4 linked regions of the Arabidopsis thaliana genome follow. The protein of the gene in region 2 interacts with the protein of the main gene of each other region in a pairwise test. Each region holds a gene or a part of one and is shown on either strand. Other genes may lie near its edges.

Region 1 (3,639 bases), 620 kb from region 2:
GAAATATTTTGCTATGGTTACGTTCCAAGTTAATTACGGTTACTACTAATTTTCTTGATTAGTTACGCGTCATTTTCTAAACCTAAAGTCATTTACTAAGAAAGTTATGACTACAAATACCTTTCTTTTTTTATGGCTGCATCATCAGCCGCATATCTACTTCGATTGAGGAACAAACTATATTTAATGGCTCCGAAGAAAATCTAGTTAAACGCTGTTGGATCTTCTATGTGTCAAAAACTACGTAATGGAAGATAAAATATAGAGATAAAAAGTTGATATTTTATTATCTGATGATGTATGGATTTCACTTGGCACAGCCGCATAGATTACCACAAAACCACTTCACAACACTTTTTTCGCTGACTAATTTGCCTTCACAAAACCAACAAAACTCCAACAGCACGTAGCTTTTTGTTTATTTTCTCTTAATTAATTTTTAACCAACCTGAGCACTTAACCGATTTTCCTTTTTTCGTATTTATTTTTAAATAACTTCAATTAATTCCACTAATATAATAATTTGCATAATCGTAAATAAAAACATAAATCACCCGAAAATACTTTGATATTAAACACATTGATTATACACATTCCACTAACTTATTTTGAAATATTGAAATTTTTACACAACTAGCTATAGTTGGTTCTTCCTCTCTGCATTAACATAACAAAAAGAGAGAGAGAGAGAGAGCCAATTGCTTGATAAAAACGTTACATGCTGTGGATAATACTACTAGAGTAAATTATTTATTACATAACGGTGCAAGCGTTGGGATTCTCGTCGCTAAAAAGAGAAATGTAGTGGTTCTCGGGAGCTCCCGGCAACAGCTGCAACTGCGACTGCTCAGATTTCCTGACATAACCGGCCGGAGCTTTTTTGTCGTAAGTTCCGACCGCGTATGGATATGCGACCATGTTGTAAGGAACGTACGGCCATATCTCCGCTTTTTTCCCTGTCCTTTCGATTCTCTTTAATACCTTCTTTGGTTCCACGTATCCACTCACCGTCACTTTATGTATCTTTCTATTCACCTCCACCGATTTCACACCTGCGCGATTTTTATATTGATATAAAGACCGTGTTAATTTGGCTTGTTGTATGTAGAAATGGTTTGGCGTGCTTACATGAGTACTCGTTTAATGGAAATCAAAATTACAAAAAAACTTACAGAAACCATTCATGACATAAGTAGTCTACGAGTTGGAGATTCGAACCTTTCATGGAGGAAACCGCGTTCTTGACTCTGCGTTCACAACCATCGCAGTCCATTTTCACCTTTATATTCACCGTCTGCATGACTTTCCGCTTCCTCCTTTTTCTGGTGACGCGGAAGTAGTCGGAGATATACTCGGAAAGAGAATCAAGAGCTCCCATGTCTATTACTCTCACCAAGAAAGATCAGAGATGCATATATTATGGACTGGACTTGACCATATTTATAGCAAGTACATGGTGACTTAATGGACAAGTGTTATGCCGAGGATTAAGTACAATTAAATGTGTTTAATATTCGTAAAGTGTAATTAGAGAGATGTATATGTGGCCCTCTAATGATGTTTTCCTCCAAATACACACGTTGGACAACGAGGCCAATGTTTTTGGGCTAAAGCACACGACTCCCGCCGATTTCTTTGTTACAAAATTCTAATATCCGTTTTATATTAAAAAGCTAACTATAATAATAATAATAAACAGAAGAGTTTGTAGTTATAATTTCTTTTTTTCTAACAATGTCCGATCGGTCGTTTATAATAAAACAATGTCACGGGATTAGAGGTTTATCATCCACATCACCTGAGTCACCTCAAAATTCACATGCGTCAAAGTTAATTCATTGAGAATGGCAATTATGGTTGTGTAGATTCTTCTTTTACCATCTAATCTTTTTCTTTTACAATTTTGTTTATGATCATTTTCGTCGTATACATATATATGATGTCGGTATGTATATATAAGTTTATGAAAAAATTGTAATCGTGTATTGAAAACGACATGACCCTTCTAATTAATTTAACACTTTTGTTACTTTGGATAGGTACACGATCGGATGAATGATAATAGGGTTTATAGATAAACTACACAATCACACATTCAATTATTTCAATTTAGGTCAGAAACAGTAAAAGGGAATAGTTATAAGAGAAAAATAGAAAGGAATGTAGCAATTTAAAGGGCAATGATTCGATGAGAAAAAATAAGGTGTGGGGGTCCGATCTTATACGAAGTAGACAACTCAATCAAACTATTTAGGTAGTCTATAGTTTGAAATAAGAATTGTTATAAAGCCCCTCCACATCTTTTTATTATGTACATTTAGACATTTTTGTTTTTTGCTTTATACTTTCCACCCTATAAACTTCGTTGGCATTTTCTTCTCTTACACCCCAATTATCATATTCTTCTTAGACCTCTTTTTTTTTTTCCTTTTACAAAATTATATTTTTTCTATTTTTCTCTTCTAAGCTACTCAACACAATTGATCGAATTTCAATTTTGAGTTAAAGTACCCCACGAGTAATTCTTGAAAAAAATTCAGCAATATACTAAAGAGGGGTGTTACCGATATGAAGTTAATTCCATAAGAGGGTTTCATTGAAATAGCCAGTGACAACATAAAATCTCGAGATTACCAAATCGACAGCTATTATATAGCATGCCATAGCATTTAGCATAGCCTCACTTTCAAAATTAAAGGTTACTAAATCAAGGAAACATAAGCTTTGATCAATGGATTATGCATGTCCACATCCTTCATTTACAAAAAAGAACACAACAACTGTTTTTAACTATCTACTATTTGTGAAAAGAAAAAATCATCATAGCCCATTCAATTACTTTGACCCATTCTTGTTTGTTTAATAACATTGACTTGTCCATTTCTCATAACGAAATAACAGTGTTTTCTATATGGTGACTACATCATACACTTTTGCTCGGATAGAAAACTGTCTCTAAATGCTCAGAGCTCTGAAATTTTGGATAGATCATAGATCATAACTATTCAATAGTCCAAAAATATCAAACAAAATGTAGTAATAGAGATAAACAAGAAGAGAAAACAGAGCCATGAAACCCACTTCAGCCAACAAGTTGGGTTTTCCTCAGCCTATCCATCTTTACAACCAAATCCGTGACTTTATCTTTCCGGCCTTCATCGAGAAGTGTTTGTTTAAGACGGCTAAACATATGTCCCGGTGGCCTAATACCCACATCCAACATCTCATTGAAATACTCACAAGCCTCGTCTAATTTGTTCTCATGGCACAGAGCTGTGATCAAACTTGAGAACATGTGCATTCCTGGAAGAACACCTTTCCCTTTCATCTCGTCCCAAATCTTGATCGCCATATCCAATCTCTCTTTGTTACAAAACATCCTCACCATGATCTCGTAAGTACTCACCGTCGGTTCACAACTCATCGTCTGATAAACTTCATACGCTTCTTTCGAGCGCTGCATTCTAATCAAATGATGAAGAATTATATCATAAGTTCTAGCATTTGGCCCAACCCCTTTTAATCTCATCTCATCAACGGTTTTGTATGCGTCTTCCATTCGCTGTGACCAGCAATAAGCACCTACTAGCGCATTGTAAGTAGGTGCTTCAAGAGGAAACCCGGAACTCTTTGATCTCT
Region 2 (3,797 bases):
TCTGTTTATTTTTCTAGTAGTGAATTTTAGCATTTGTTATTTATCTAATTAAGTCTTACTTTGTGTCATTTACCTACTTATTCAATAGGTATATACATAGATAGAAACGTTACGCAAAAATGACCCCATGATCATATGACATTTAAAATTTCGGCTACAAATGACTTTTTCTCCAACCTTAGTGGCCGGTTTGCGGGATGCGCGTGCTATTTCGGTCATTGACAAGATCGTTAGGAGATTGTTCTAATCCGTCTTTATGATTCTAATTGTGATACGAGTAAATAAATTGTTAAATCAAAGTCTCTGTCAACGAATTATTAGTAAAACAATAAATACGTTTATTTAATTATTTTTATTGTATGGTCAAATATCTCCCGATTGTTGTAAATTGGATTCTAATTAAGCGTGATTGGTGACTAGGTTTATGATAAACGACAAAACGTAACACCAACTGTTATTCATTTATTCTCCTCGCAAACAATGCTTTAATTAGTCTCATTTCAGGGATCAGACTCTTAACTATACATTAATGAATAATTTATATGCCTTTCAATAAGATTTTAAGTTAATTAAACGAGTATCCAAAGCTTAACGAAATGAATGTTGATGTCTGATTTGTTTTGTTACTTTAATTCTAAAGAGTAAAGACCTTAGTAATTATAATTAATAACAAAATTAGCCATGCAGTTTGATCTTACCAATAACATTCACATGTAGTAACATTGTAACTTATAAGAAAAGGTTCATCATTTTTTTCATGAATGGATCATCATAAAAGTAACAATAACTAGTCACAAAATGTTCCTTCAATTTTTATTTTTTTGATAGAAACTATATTTGTTGTAAAAACAAACCCTATAAGAATCGATATGGAAAATGGCTAATGAAGATTCAAAATAATTGTGGGGTACTTAGAAGAGGAAGACTTGAAGACATACACCACATAATTGTGACCCAAAAGCTAATCAATAACGTAAGCAAAATGCGAAAGAACACTAAATTTCGGCGCCACACTAATGACAAGAAGTGAGAATAAAAGGTCGGTAAGAGATAAGAGTCTTTCCAAAGGGTGGTTAAGGAATTTAGACATTTAAATTTCATGATTAATTACGAAACATGAAGTTTGGCAATTGTCACAACAAACTCTTCTTTGCTCCACGATTGAGTCAAGTATTAAGTATTCGTGCGAAAGAAGTTCTTTTAGAGGTGTTTTCGGTAATCTACAAAATCTTCTAGTTGTTTAGCACTTTTCCTTTTGGAACGAATTAGTACATTAGCATAAGTCAAATATTTCACTAGAACACGTAATACCTATACTAGTAAGAAATTTTATTGACTTTATTGTTTAGTTAGATTATCGTTATAGGAAAATTTACGATTTTAGACCTCTAGATAAGAAAATGGTCCCTAAACAGAATCAAAATTGAAAAGATTAAAACGTTTTAGTATAAAAATGCAGGGGTGATACAGTGAAATTAACAGAAGTATGGGGTGGTAACGTAAACTCTTAAAAATAAGAAACTGTAATATGTACAGTGGAATATGAAACTGCAGGGCAGCTGTAATTGTCCTTTAGTACGATGCATGTAATGGGCTATTGCCACGTATACACTTTGGACTCAAATCTTCCAACTAATCCCATCCTCTCCTTCGAATATATTCGATTAATTAAAATTTTATGTCACGCTCAGAAATTATTCATCTTTTTTATTTCTTTTACACAACAAGTTACCCACTGGTGAAAGTGAAAACCCATATCTTACAAATGTCCCGTAAAATCATTGCTTTCTGATAAGACCTCAGATTCAATATTTTATACAGGTTCAAAGTGTATAGTCTGTCTATATAACGTATGAATAGATATCAAAACTAGTGACTAAAATATTCAAAAAAATCTCTGTTTCACCAAAACAAGAAAAAAAAAAAGTAAAAAAGAAGTTGTGAATTTTCATTGATATACAGTGAGTGTTTTCTTTCTTTTGCTGTATGTTTTGGACGTTTGTGAGTAAGCACTTATTATTATTTTCCAAGTCCTAATTATATTTCATCACTGCCATGTTCTTTACCGATATAATTACATCATCGTCACATGCACTTACATAATTATCCTTTTTTAATAAATAAAATAAAACTACAAAACCTAATCTTCTCATTAATCACAAAAGCAAAAGATTTAAGTAAACACACTATAAAGACAGAACTAAACAAAAGCTATGGATTTGTCTTCCAAACCACAACAACAACTTCTAAACTCTCTTCCCATCGCCGGAGAACTAACTGTCACCGGAGAAATGGGTGTTTGTTACAAAGAGTGTTTGAAAAACCACGCGGCTAATCTCGGCGGCCATGCTCTCGACGGTTGCGGCGAGTTTATGCCGAGTCCCACGGCTACTTCCACCGATCCTTCTTCTCTCCGTTGCGCTGCTTGTGGCTGCCACCGTAACTTCCACCGCCGTGACCCTTCCGAGAATCTCAACTTCCTCACCGCGCCTCCGATTTCTTCTCCCTCCGGCACTGAGTCGCCGCCGTCTCGTCACGTGTCTTCTCCTGTTCCTTGCTCTTACTACACCTCAGCTCCTCCACATCACGTGATTCTCTCTCTCAGCTCCGGTTTCCCTGGACCGTCAGATCAAGATCCAACGGTGGTTAGGTCAGAGAACAGTTCAAGAGGAGCAATGAGGAAACGAACAAGAACCAAATTCACGCCGGAGCAGAAGATCAAGATGAGAGCCTTCGCAGAGAAAGCTGGTTGGAAAATCAACGGATGTGATGAAAAGTCGGTGAGAGAGTTTTGTAACGAAGTTGGGATTGAGAGAGGAGTTCTTAAAGTGTGGATGCATAACAACAAGTACTCACTTCTCAATGGCAAGATCAGAGAGATCGAACATGGCCTGTGTCTGAACACTCACAGCAATGATGGTGATGGGTCTTCATCTTCTTGAAGAAAGATTCAAGATTCGGGTTAAACCGAATTAGGATACTTTAATTTGGGAAAATATGAGCATTAACCGGTTTAAAATCATATAATAGTGTCTTTTCTCTAACATGTAATCGATCTTGATATAAATATTTATGCGGTTTGATCTTTTCTATTTTCATCACTTTGACAGAGATGTGGTCAGAGATCACAAATGGGTTTGGTAATAAATAAGTTTTTAAATCGGAGGTTGAAACGAATTTTGATAGACCATTTCTAATTATAGTAAGTGCATAAGCGCTAATTGTGATCGTAGAGATCAAAAGATTCGTTTCTTTGTTTACTTTCTGATTATTCAATGTTATCTTCTGTATTATTAGAAATAAATCTCCTGAACTTTAGAGATAGAGTAAGTAAAGTTTGCTTAATGAAGATACGACGACGTGGTTATTACGAATTGCAACAAACTATGGCGTGGCGGAATATAATTAGGTCACTGGGCGGCACATTTTTGTTGTTAATTTATATGATATGATTAAAAGTTATTAAAATGCTGGCTTATCTCTTTCCATTTAGGGATAAGCTTTGGCAACACCAATCTTGCTTATTTATCCTAATTAAGTACAATGCAGATGTTACGATTACTAAAATATCTACTATGTGCAATGATTTGGCTCTTCCCGCACCACTGATATTAAAAATTCGTTTTTTTTCTTTCATTCATCATGTATTAACGAATCATAGCGAATGCTTTATCACGTATAAATGGTCGTAAGTTCAATGCCGGAGACAAAGTATTTTACCATGTATGTACGAAGTAACGAAGCCCAAGCCTTAACAAAAGGCCGGTACGAATATCCATGCCAGATAGATCAATGTA
Region 3 (3,884 bases), 6.5 Mb from region 2:
ATAATATAAATTTCAAGAAAAATTCATTCGTAAATTTTTTTCATTTATGAAATACCACAACTGCATGAAAACTAATCAATGGATAAATACAGACAAAAAAAATTACATCAATACGTGATCTTATAAAACAAAATCTGAATATATGTATAGGGTCTATAGCTAATTTCAATTTCGATTATATTATATGCAAACTTGATGTGGATTACTTATTTTTCGGTTAAGATGTTTTATCTATGGTGGATTTACATAAAACTCAACAAATAATTTTGCTAAGTCCTTAAATTAGTTAGACATATTGGTGAAACCGACACTAAAAATGTAGATAAAAATATTAATTTATACATTATCCAACAAGGATTTTATCCAAATCGTGGTATCTATGTGATCTAATGGTTATAAGTGGAATTTAGGTGTTCTAAACATGCTCAATTAGTCAATTATATACTTCACTTTCCAACTCAAAACAGCATATTCCGAGCGAACAATATGGATTTTTATACTATAACACCCAATTTCTAAATTAAACAAAAATTGCGACCATTATATATGGTTCTATCTTTTAAAAACCATGGAACTAAATGATGAAACTATGAAGTTTTTTTTTCACAAAAAAAAAAAAGAAACTATGAAGTTTTTTACCCTATATTTTTTTTAAAAAAGATACTATGAAGCTTTGAAGCAGCTACTACGAGTTGTGTTTGTTAATGTTTCTGAAAACAAAAATAAATTGAAAAAATCTTTAGTCAACATCAACTCGTGTTTTTTCTCTTCTCCCATCGTTATAACGTCTTTTTGACAAATGACAAATTGCGCCTAACTTCTACGATAGACACGTGGACACGTGTCGTCATGATGTAGTTTTGTCCGTATGGAAAACGCTTTCCATGTTGTAACCTAAGATACATTGAACAGTTCCTTTGTCCTTTCAACTTCGCTTTTTTCGAAGCTCTTTCCCTTACCCTACCACAACATTACGCGTGTCCTTCTTATTACAACATTTGGCACATATACATTTCAGAAAACCCGTCAACAAAAAACACGTGAAATAAAATATCTCTTCCTTTACCAGTTCACATATTTCATGGTTACTGTTCAATCATTTCGCCAAAAAATCTTTTTTTTTTTGGGTACAAATTTGGCCAAATAATTGTTCCTTTATTCTGAAATTCAGTCCCCTACACGAATATATAGACCACCAAAAAGTACATGGACGGTTCAATGTTGATTAAATCGACCAAGATAAAGTCAATAATGTTTTGTGGTTTAGATGTCGTCTGGTTACTATATTGACAATAAACTTTGTAAATAAAAAATATCCTTAAAAAAAAAAAAAAAATCCTAAAAGGAAAATCGAAAATCATTTTTTTAATTTGTTTTACATTACTTAAATAATTAAATAGACAATCCTAGGAAAAAAATCTCGATTAAATTAAATATTATATGTGAACTCCAAATGTCTAAGCAGCAAATTTCCAAACATTCATTTGAATCTTATTTTGATTGGAAAATACTTTTAAATTTAGCGGAACATTATTGATAAATAGATGAATAAACAAATGTTAATAAAAAAAACCATTTAAAAAAAATAGTACGAGGAAGAGCTAAATCTACTCATGTAGGTTCAATGAACTCAAGGGATTGCATAAATCACGACGATCTAACTGACACACGTGTCAGAATTCAAAAGTGTTTATAGATAAACACAAAAATGGGTCCCATATTCAGTACACACGTTAATCAGCGGCGGTGGATTCACCTATACACTGCGTCCATATATAAGTAGCACGAGACCCAAACATTATTGTCAAAAATAAGAAAGAAAGAAAAAAATATGGGTATCCAAGAAACTGACCCGTTAACGCAATTGAGTTTACCACCGGGTTTCCGATTTTACCCGACCGATGAAGAGCTTATGGTTCAATATCTCTGTAGAAAAGCAGCTGGTTACGATTTCTCTCTTCAGCTCATCGCCGAAATAGATCTTTACAAATTCGATCCATGGGTTTTACCAAGTAAGTATATACTAATTGAAACCCTTCTCAAAAAATGTTTATTTTTCTTAACAGAGATTCATAATTTTCTTGGTTTTTCTTCTTTTGTGATTTATAGATAAAGCATTATTTGGAGAAAAAGAATGGTATTTTTTTAGTCCTAGGGATAGAAAATATCCAAACGGGTCAAGACCTAACCGGGTTGCCGGATCGGGTTATTGGAAAGCTACGGGTACGGATAAAATAATCTCGACGGAAGGACAAAGAGTTGGTATTAAAAAAGCTTTGGTGTTTTACATCGGAAAAGCTCCTAAAGGTACTAAAACCAATTGGATCATGCATGAGTATCGTCTCATTGAACCTTCTCGTAGAAACGGAAGCACTAAGGTAACAAATAAAATCTAAACATTAATAAATACTATATCTTATATTTTCTTCTTGTAGTGTTTTGAATGACCTATAATTAATATTCTTGTTAATTTTCTTTAGTTGGATGATTGGGTTCTATGTCGAATATACAAGAAGCAATCAAGTGCACAAAAACAAGTTTACGATAATGGAATCGCGAATGCTAGAGAATTCAGCAACAACGGTACTTCGTCCACGACGTCGTCTTCTTCTCACTTTGAAGACGTTCTTGATTCGTTTCATCAAGAGATCGACAACAGAAATTTCCAGTTTTCTAACCCAAACCGCATCTCGTCGCTCAGACCGGACTTAACCGAACAGAAAACCGGGTTCCACGGTCTTGCGGATACTTCTAACTTCGATTGGGCTAGTTTTGCCGGTAATGTTGAGCATAATAACTCGGTACCGGAACTCGGAATGAGTCATGTTGTTCCTAATCTCGAGTACAACTGTGGCTACCTGAAGACGGAGGAGGAAGTCGAGAGCAGTCACGGGTTTAATAACTCGGGCGAGTTAGCTCAAAAGGGTTATGGTGTTGACTCGTTTGGGTATTCGGGGCAAGTTGGTGGGTTTGGGTTTATGTGATGATGAAATGCTGACGCAATAAAAATAAGTCGTTAATTTTTGTCCCGTGGCAAATCTTATATGTATTTGAATTTCAATTCTTTTGGGTTAAGAGGGAGACTCATAGATTTAGATGTAGATTTGTAATCTTTCATGCATAGAAAATTTGACGAATAGATTTCGTAACTTTATTTTGTTGCTGTTTGGTTATCTTTGTATTGGTATAAATTTAGTGGATTGAAATTGCATATTGATATATTGTTTAGTTGTGGCTAGCTATACATGTAAGTTTAATTGTTTGAGCTATCCAAAAGAATATATTTAACTATCTCATGCATTTTTAATATAAGCATACGTTATGTAATCATAAACCTACATACAAATCTTTTCTGTTTACGAATATATAGTAACACACCACAAATTGAGAGACTTACTGTATATACTGTATTTGAAAAAGGAGCGTTGGGTTAGCTGAACTTAGGTGTGTAACGTGGGCTTGCTTGTTTGACCATCTTGACAAGAGATTGTAGAGAAACAGTTTATACCGTACAAGTTTCAAACACATGTTTATTGTGGGTCGACTAAATGCGTTTGCAATTAGGGTATGAATGATAAGAGTAAAACACGGAATACTCGATTTTTTAACTGTACCTAGGAAAATCCGACCTAATAGTTTAAATTTAATTTCTGACATGAATCATGTAAAAGTTTAAGAACATCTCTAATAAAGAGTTTTCAAAACATTAAAATAACGAAATAAAGAATTGAAAGTACCAAAAATAACCATTTAGTTCAAAAGAGGATGAGAATACTCAAAAAGGGTTTTAAACTATTCGAGATGTTCTTATTTTGATTTAGAGTGCGCGTTAACACAATCTCTAGTACACATTAGCCACATTGTTACTGAATATATGTGGTTCG
Region 4 (4,109 bases), on a different chromosome or scaffold from region 2:
ATTTGGCCATCTAATACCATCACTATCCTTTTCCCATTAAACAATATAACATCTTTATCCATATCCTTTTAAATATATATATATCAATTTCTCTAACAAATTTTGAACGTTCTTTAAACAGCTGTACAATATTACTATTTCAAACCTTACGGCTTGCAAATGCCATTGCACATAAATGAATATATACACAACTATCGCGTGCGAAATTTCTTTATGCCACATGTGTTTATATAAATAGTATTTTTATATTTTACAAAAGTATACTAGTGCTATAGGCTAGAAATCATCTCAGATAAACATACATTTTTGGTCATGTTCGCTATGATATGGTTACCGTCATCAGCGAAAGATGATGACAAATCTATTGTTCGTTTTAGCTGGTACTAATATTAAACGATGAGCGATAGCGAGCAAAGTCATATTCGCTTTATGGTTCCTAGATTATCGATATATTATGGCGATTAATATAATAAATTATGAATCGCTGATTCGTTGTTAATGATAATACTACATGATGTTGACACAAAAATGTGTCATGAATGATAAGGAAACTTTCACATTTCTATCGTTTATCGTTAGCAATAGCAAGTACAAAACTTATAGATCCAATGCAATATCTGTTTTTCTAATAAATAATTGATCAATACAAAAGTTCCAGCTATAAAAGTTTACAAAAATGTAAATGTCAGGACAAATGACGACGAATATACAATACAAGTCGTAGAACCTAAATCTAACCCTAGAGTTCGAATTCTACGCTATATTAATTAACTAATCTGACACGGACAAAAAATAAAAATATGTTTTTCTTATTACGTTACCATTACACAATCAAATAAACCCGAACCCACTAGATTGTTGACCCGAGTACCCAAATCCGTTAACCGGGTCAACACTAAAACCCTGATTAGCCGAGACGTCCGAGTTATTATTAAACCGAGGAATCCCCTCAGTTTGTTGCTGCGTTCCACCGTCACCGTAACGAATACTCGGAACGTTATGACTCAGTCCGAGTTCCGGGACCGAGTTCTGTCCAATCAAATTCGCCCAATCAAAACTTGGCTCCCTGGCTAAACCCTGAAACCCGGTTTTATGATTGGTTAAAACCGGTCTATGACTATGAGGCAGCGCGTTTGATGAACCGGCGGCAAACCCCAAACTTCTGTTGTCAATCTCATGCAACGACTCGAGAACGTCGTCGTATTGATGAGACGAAGAAGATGTCGACGAACCATTGTTGCTGTATTCACGACCACTCGTCATTAGATTATTGTAAGCTTGTTTTTGTGCGCTTGTTTGCTTTTTGTATATTCGACATAAAACCCAATCATCAAGCTGAACATAAAAACAGTTTAAAATATGTTATTCGTTGAACAGTATAATTACAATTACTATATACTTATCTTTTTGGATACATCATGTATTTAACTAAATTTATACCTTGGTGCTTCCATTTCGACGAGAGGGTTCGATGAGACGGTACTCATGCATAATCCAATTGGTTTTGGTTCCTTTTGGAGCTTTTCCAATGTAAAACACCAAAGCTTTCTTGATACCAACTCTTCTTCCCTCCGTCGAGATAACTTTATCCGTACCGGTGGCTTTCCAATAACCCGACCCGGCAACCCGATTAGGTCTTGACCCGTTTGGATACTTCCTATCCCTCGGGCTGAAAAAATACCATTCTTTTTCACCGAATAACGCCTTACCTACAAAGAACCAAAAAGACAAGTTAGAAGAGAAAAAAACATAACTAGCTACAAAGAAACCAAACACGGTTAAGGTTATTAGGTTATACGTACTTGGTAAAACCCATGGATCAAACTTGTAGAGATCGATTTCAGCTATGAGCTGGAGAGAGAAGTCGTGACCGGCGGCTTTTCTACAGAGATATTCAACCATCAGCTCTTCGTCAGTCGGATAAAACCGAAAACCCGGCGGTAAGCTCAATTGGGCTAACGGGTCAAGCTCTTGGAGACCCATTTTTCCTATCACCTCTTTCTCTAGGACAAAGAAAATATCTGCACTTTTTATAGAAAACAATCACAAAACTATCTTCTTTGATTTTCTTTTTTGTATTCTGAGATTAAAGATTTCGAAGCTCTGCTACTCGTGTATGTATATATATAATATAATATTACACCGCCGCCCAATCTTCGTTAACGTGCAGCCTCAATACGGGTCCCACTTTATGTTTATCATGACACGTGGATCAATTAGAGCGTCGTGATTTATGCGATCCCTTTGGTTCTTTGAACCTATACCATAAAGTTGATTATTTATATTAGTAATGTTGTAATATTGTGTGTGTGACTGTACCTCCTCTTATGATTTTTTTTTTGTATTGTCAATGGTCTTCCCAAGTATTAGGGAGTTAACTGAAAGTAATTTGCGAATATTTGTAAGTTCAGAAAAACAAATTAGGTGATTCTTAAGACTAGTGATTTTTCATGCAATTTACGCGGTAAATTTCTATGAATGAGTTACATAACAGTGACAATCTACGAAAAGTATTATGAAAAATAAGAAGTATTTTTTTTTTAATGGGTATGTGCCAAATTGTTTTTTTTTGGTCGTCAAGAAGAAAAAACACGTGTAAGTGAATGATGGGATGAGTTCACTGGATGGTAACATGGAAAGCGTTTTTCATACGGATAGAACTACCACAAGCCGACACATGTCTTGTGTCTATTGGTTGAGTTAGGCGGGATATTTTTCTTTCGTCAAAAGCCGTTAAAGATCAGAGAGAGGGACAAACAACAAACACGAGTTGATGATGCAGACTCTCGTTATTTTTCTATTTGATCCATATGAGACTGTAATTTTTGATTGAAATCAGATGAAACTGTAATTGTGAAACGATAGTATACAATCAGAGGTACCAAGAAATTAGGCTTTTGTGGTTGAGAAATGGGAACACAAGATTTTCGTAAGTCCGTATAACACAAACACGCTTCTCTTCAAACACTTTTTTGTGTACGTGAAAAAGGAACATTTTACCAATTGAAAATAAAGTTCAATTACAATTTTCTTGCAAGTAGATTTATATTTAACCAATTTATGGCGGTTTATTGATTAACATATTTATTTAAGCATTCGAGAACGTACGTGATTTCAATCATGATTAACATAGTTGAGCTTTGATTCATGGTTCTCGATTTTTTTTTAAAATAGGTAAAACAGGAATCTTAGTTAGAAGTCAGATCGTTTATCAGCAAATTTATCGTAGATATATCATATATGTATGTAAGTTTAGGCTTTTTTTTTTTTTTTCTTATTCATTGAATTTTTTGGCTTTCTACTGATAGTTTTTTCTCGGTAAAAAGTTAATTAGCAAACTAGTAGCCCAAAAAATGAAAAATAAAGTTAATTAGCTAACTTTAATTGATATCTTGTGATCACATGTACATGGTGCTGTAAAAATAATTCTAAGCGAATATAACAAGGAATTTGGGGTTTCTTACACTCAATATCTTTCGTGTCACGGTGCATTTGGTGTTAATTCGTTTCTATTTATAATGGTTCTCTTCCATTAAAGATACATCAATTGGTATAGAACGGGGTGATCAAAGTTTTTTTAAAAGCTTTTGTTCTTCTCCTTTTCGGGATTTTTTTGTTAATGTTGGAAGATAATATCCACACACAGGTCTTTAGTTTTAGATAACTAATTAACATTATGCTATTTTAGCGATGTCATGCATATATCATAACGTGTATGTCATGCATATATCATAATTACATAACGTGTAACCCCGTAAATTTGGGTCAAAATACAAAAGTGTATTAAGAATTGATGACGTGGATATCAAGGTGGTATAAGTTTCAACTTTTGACATGTGAGTTTAGTTAATGGTTTGCTGAATAAACCATATGGCTAAACCAATAAACTTCCAATAATAATATGAATATCACACTTATTACAACTTAACCTCAATCTTCCTATATAAAATCAAAGTGCGCCAATGAAATTCGAACTCGAATGCTTTACATTGTAATGGTATAATTATTTTTCTACCATATATAAAATTTGATAATCTGGAGCACCATGAGCTCCCTCCACAAGCATAATCCAGTAAATAGTACAATATCCCCAATTGCTAAAAGTGTTG

What was found.
Region 1: the proteins of ZFHD1 (region 2) and HIPP20 interact in a two-hybrid assay, tested with the Arabidopsis thaliana proteins (one study listed by BioGRID).
Region 3: the proteins of ZFHD1 (region 2) and NAC019 interact in a two-hybrid assay, tested with the Arabidopsis thaliana proteins (one study listed by BioGRID).
Region 4: the proteins of ZFHD1 (region 2) and NAC3 interact in a two-hybrid assay, tested with the Arabidopsis thaliana proteins (one study listed by BioGRID).

The regions. Positions count from the first base shown.
Region 1 is NC_003070.9:26,802,569-26,806,207, forward strand, and holds HIPP20 (Heavy metal transport/detoxification superfamily protein), read right to left. Parts: upstream 1,725-3,639; 5' UTR 1,379-1,724; coding exon 1,219-1,378; intron 1,053-1,218; coding exon 754-1,052; 3' UTR 529-753; downstream 1-528. Other genes in the region: AT1G71060 (Tetratricopeptide repeat (TPR)-like superfamily protein), read right to left, coding at 3,083-3,639. UniProt on the Arabidopsis thaliana protein: Heavy-metal-binding protein. Binds cadmium. May be involved in cadmium transport and play a role in cadmium detoxification.
Region 2 is NC_003070.9:26,180,257-26,184,053, forward strand, and holds ZFHD1 (zinc finger homeodomain 1), read left to right. Parts: upstream 1-1,899; 5' UTR 1,900-2,213; coding exon 2,214-2,942; 3' UTR 2,943-3,290; downstream 3,291-3,797. UniProt on the Arabidopsis thaliana protein: Transcription factor involved in the up-regulation of several stress-inducible genes. Acts as a transcriptional activator by interacting with MED25 and NAC proteins. Involved in increased drought tolerance.
Region 3 is NC_003070.9:19,696,392-19,700,275, reverse strand, and holds NAC019 (NAC domain containing protein 19), read left to right. Parts: upstream 1-1,793; 5' UTR 1,794-1,831; coding exon 1,832-2,012; intron 2,013-2,109; coding exon 2,110-2,378; intron 2,379-2,480; coding exon 2,481-2,984; 3' UTR 2,985-3,353; downstream 3,354-3,884. UniProt on the Arabidopsis thaliana protein: Transcription factors that bind specifically to the 5'-CATGTG-3' motif.
Region 4 is NC_003074.8:5,232,605-5,236,713, reverse strand, and holds NAC3 (NAC domain containing protein 3), read right to left. Parts: upstream 2,258-4,109; 5' UTR 1,984-2,257; coding exon 1,803-1,983; intron 1,710-1,802; coding exon 1,441-1,709; intron 1,336-1,440; coding exon 832-1,335; 3' UTR 518-831; downstream 1-517. UniProt on the Arabidopsis thaliana protein: Transcription factors that bind specifically to the 5'-CATGTG-3' motif.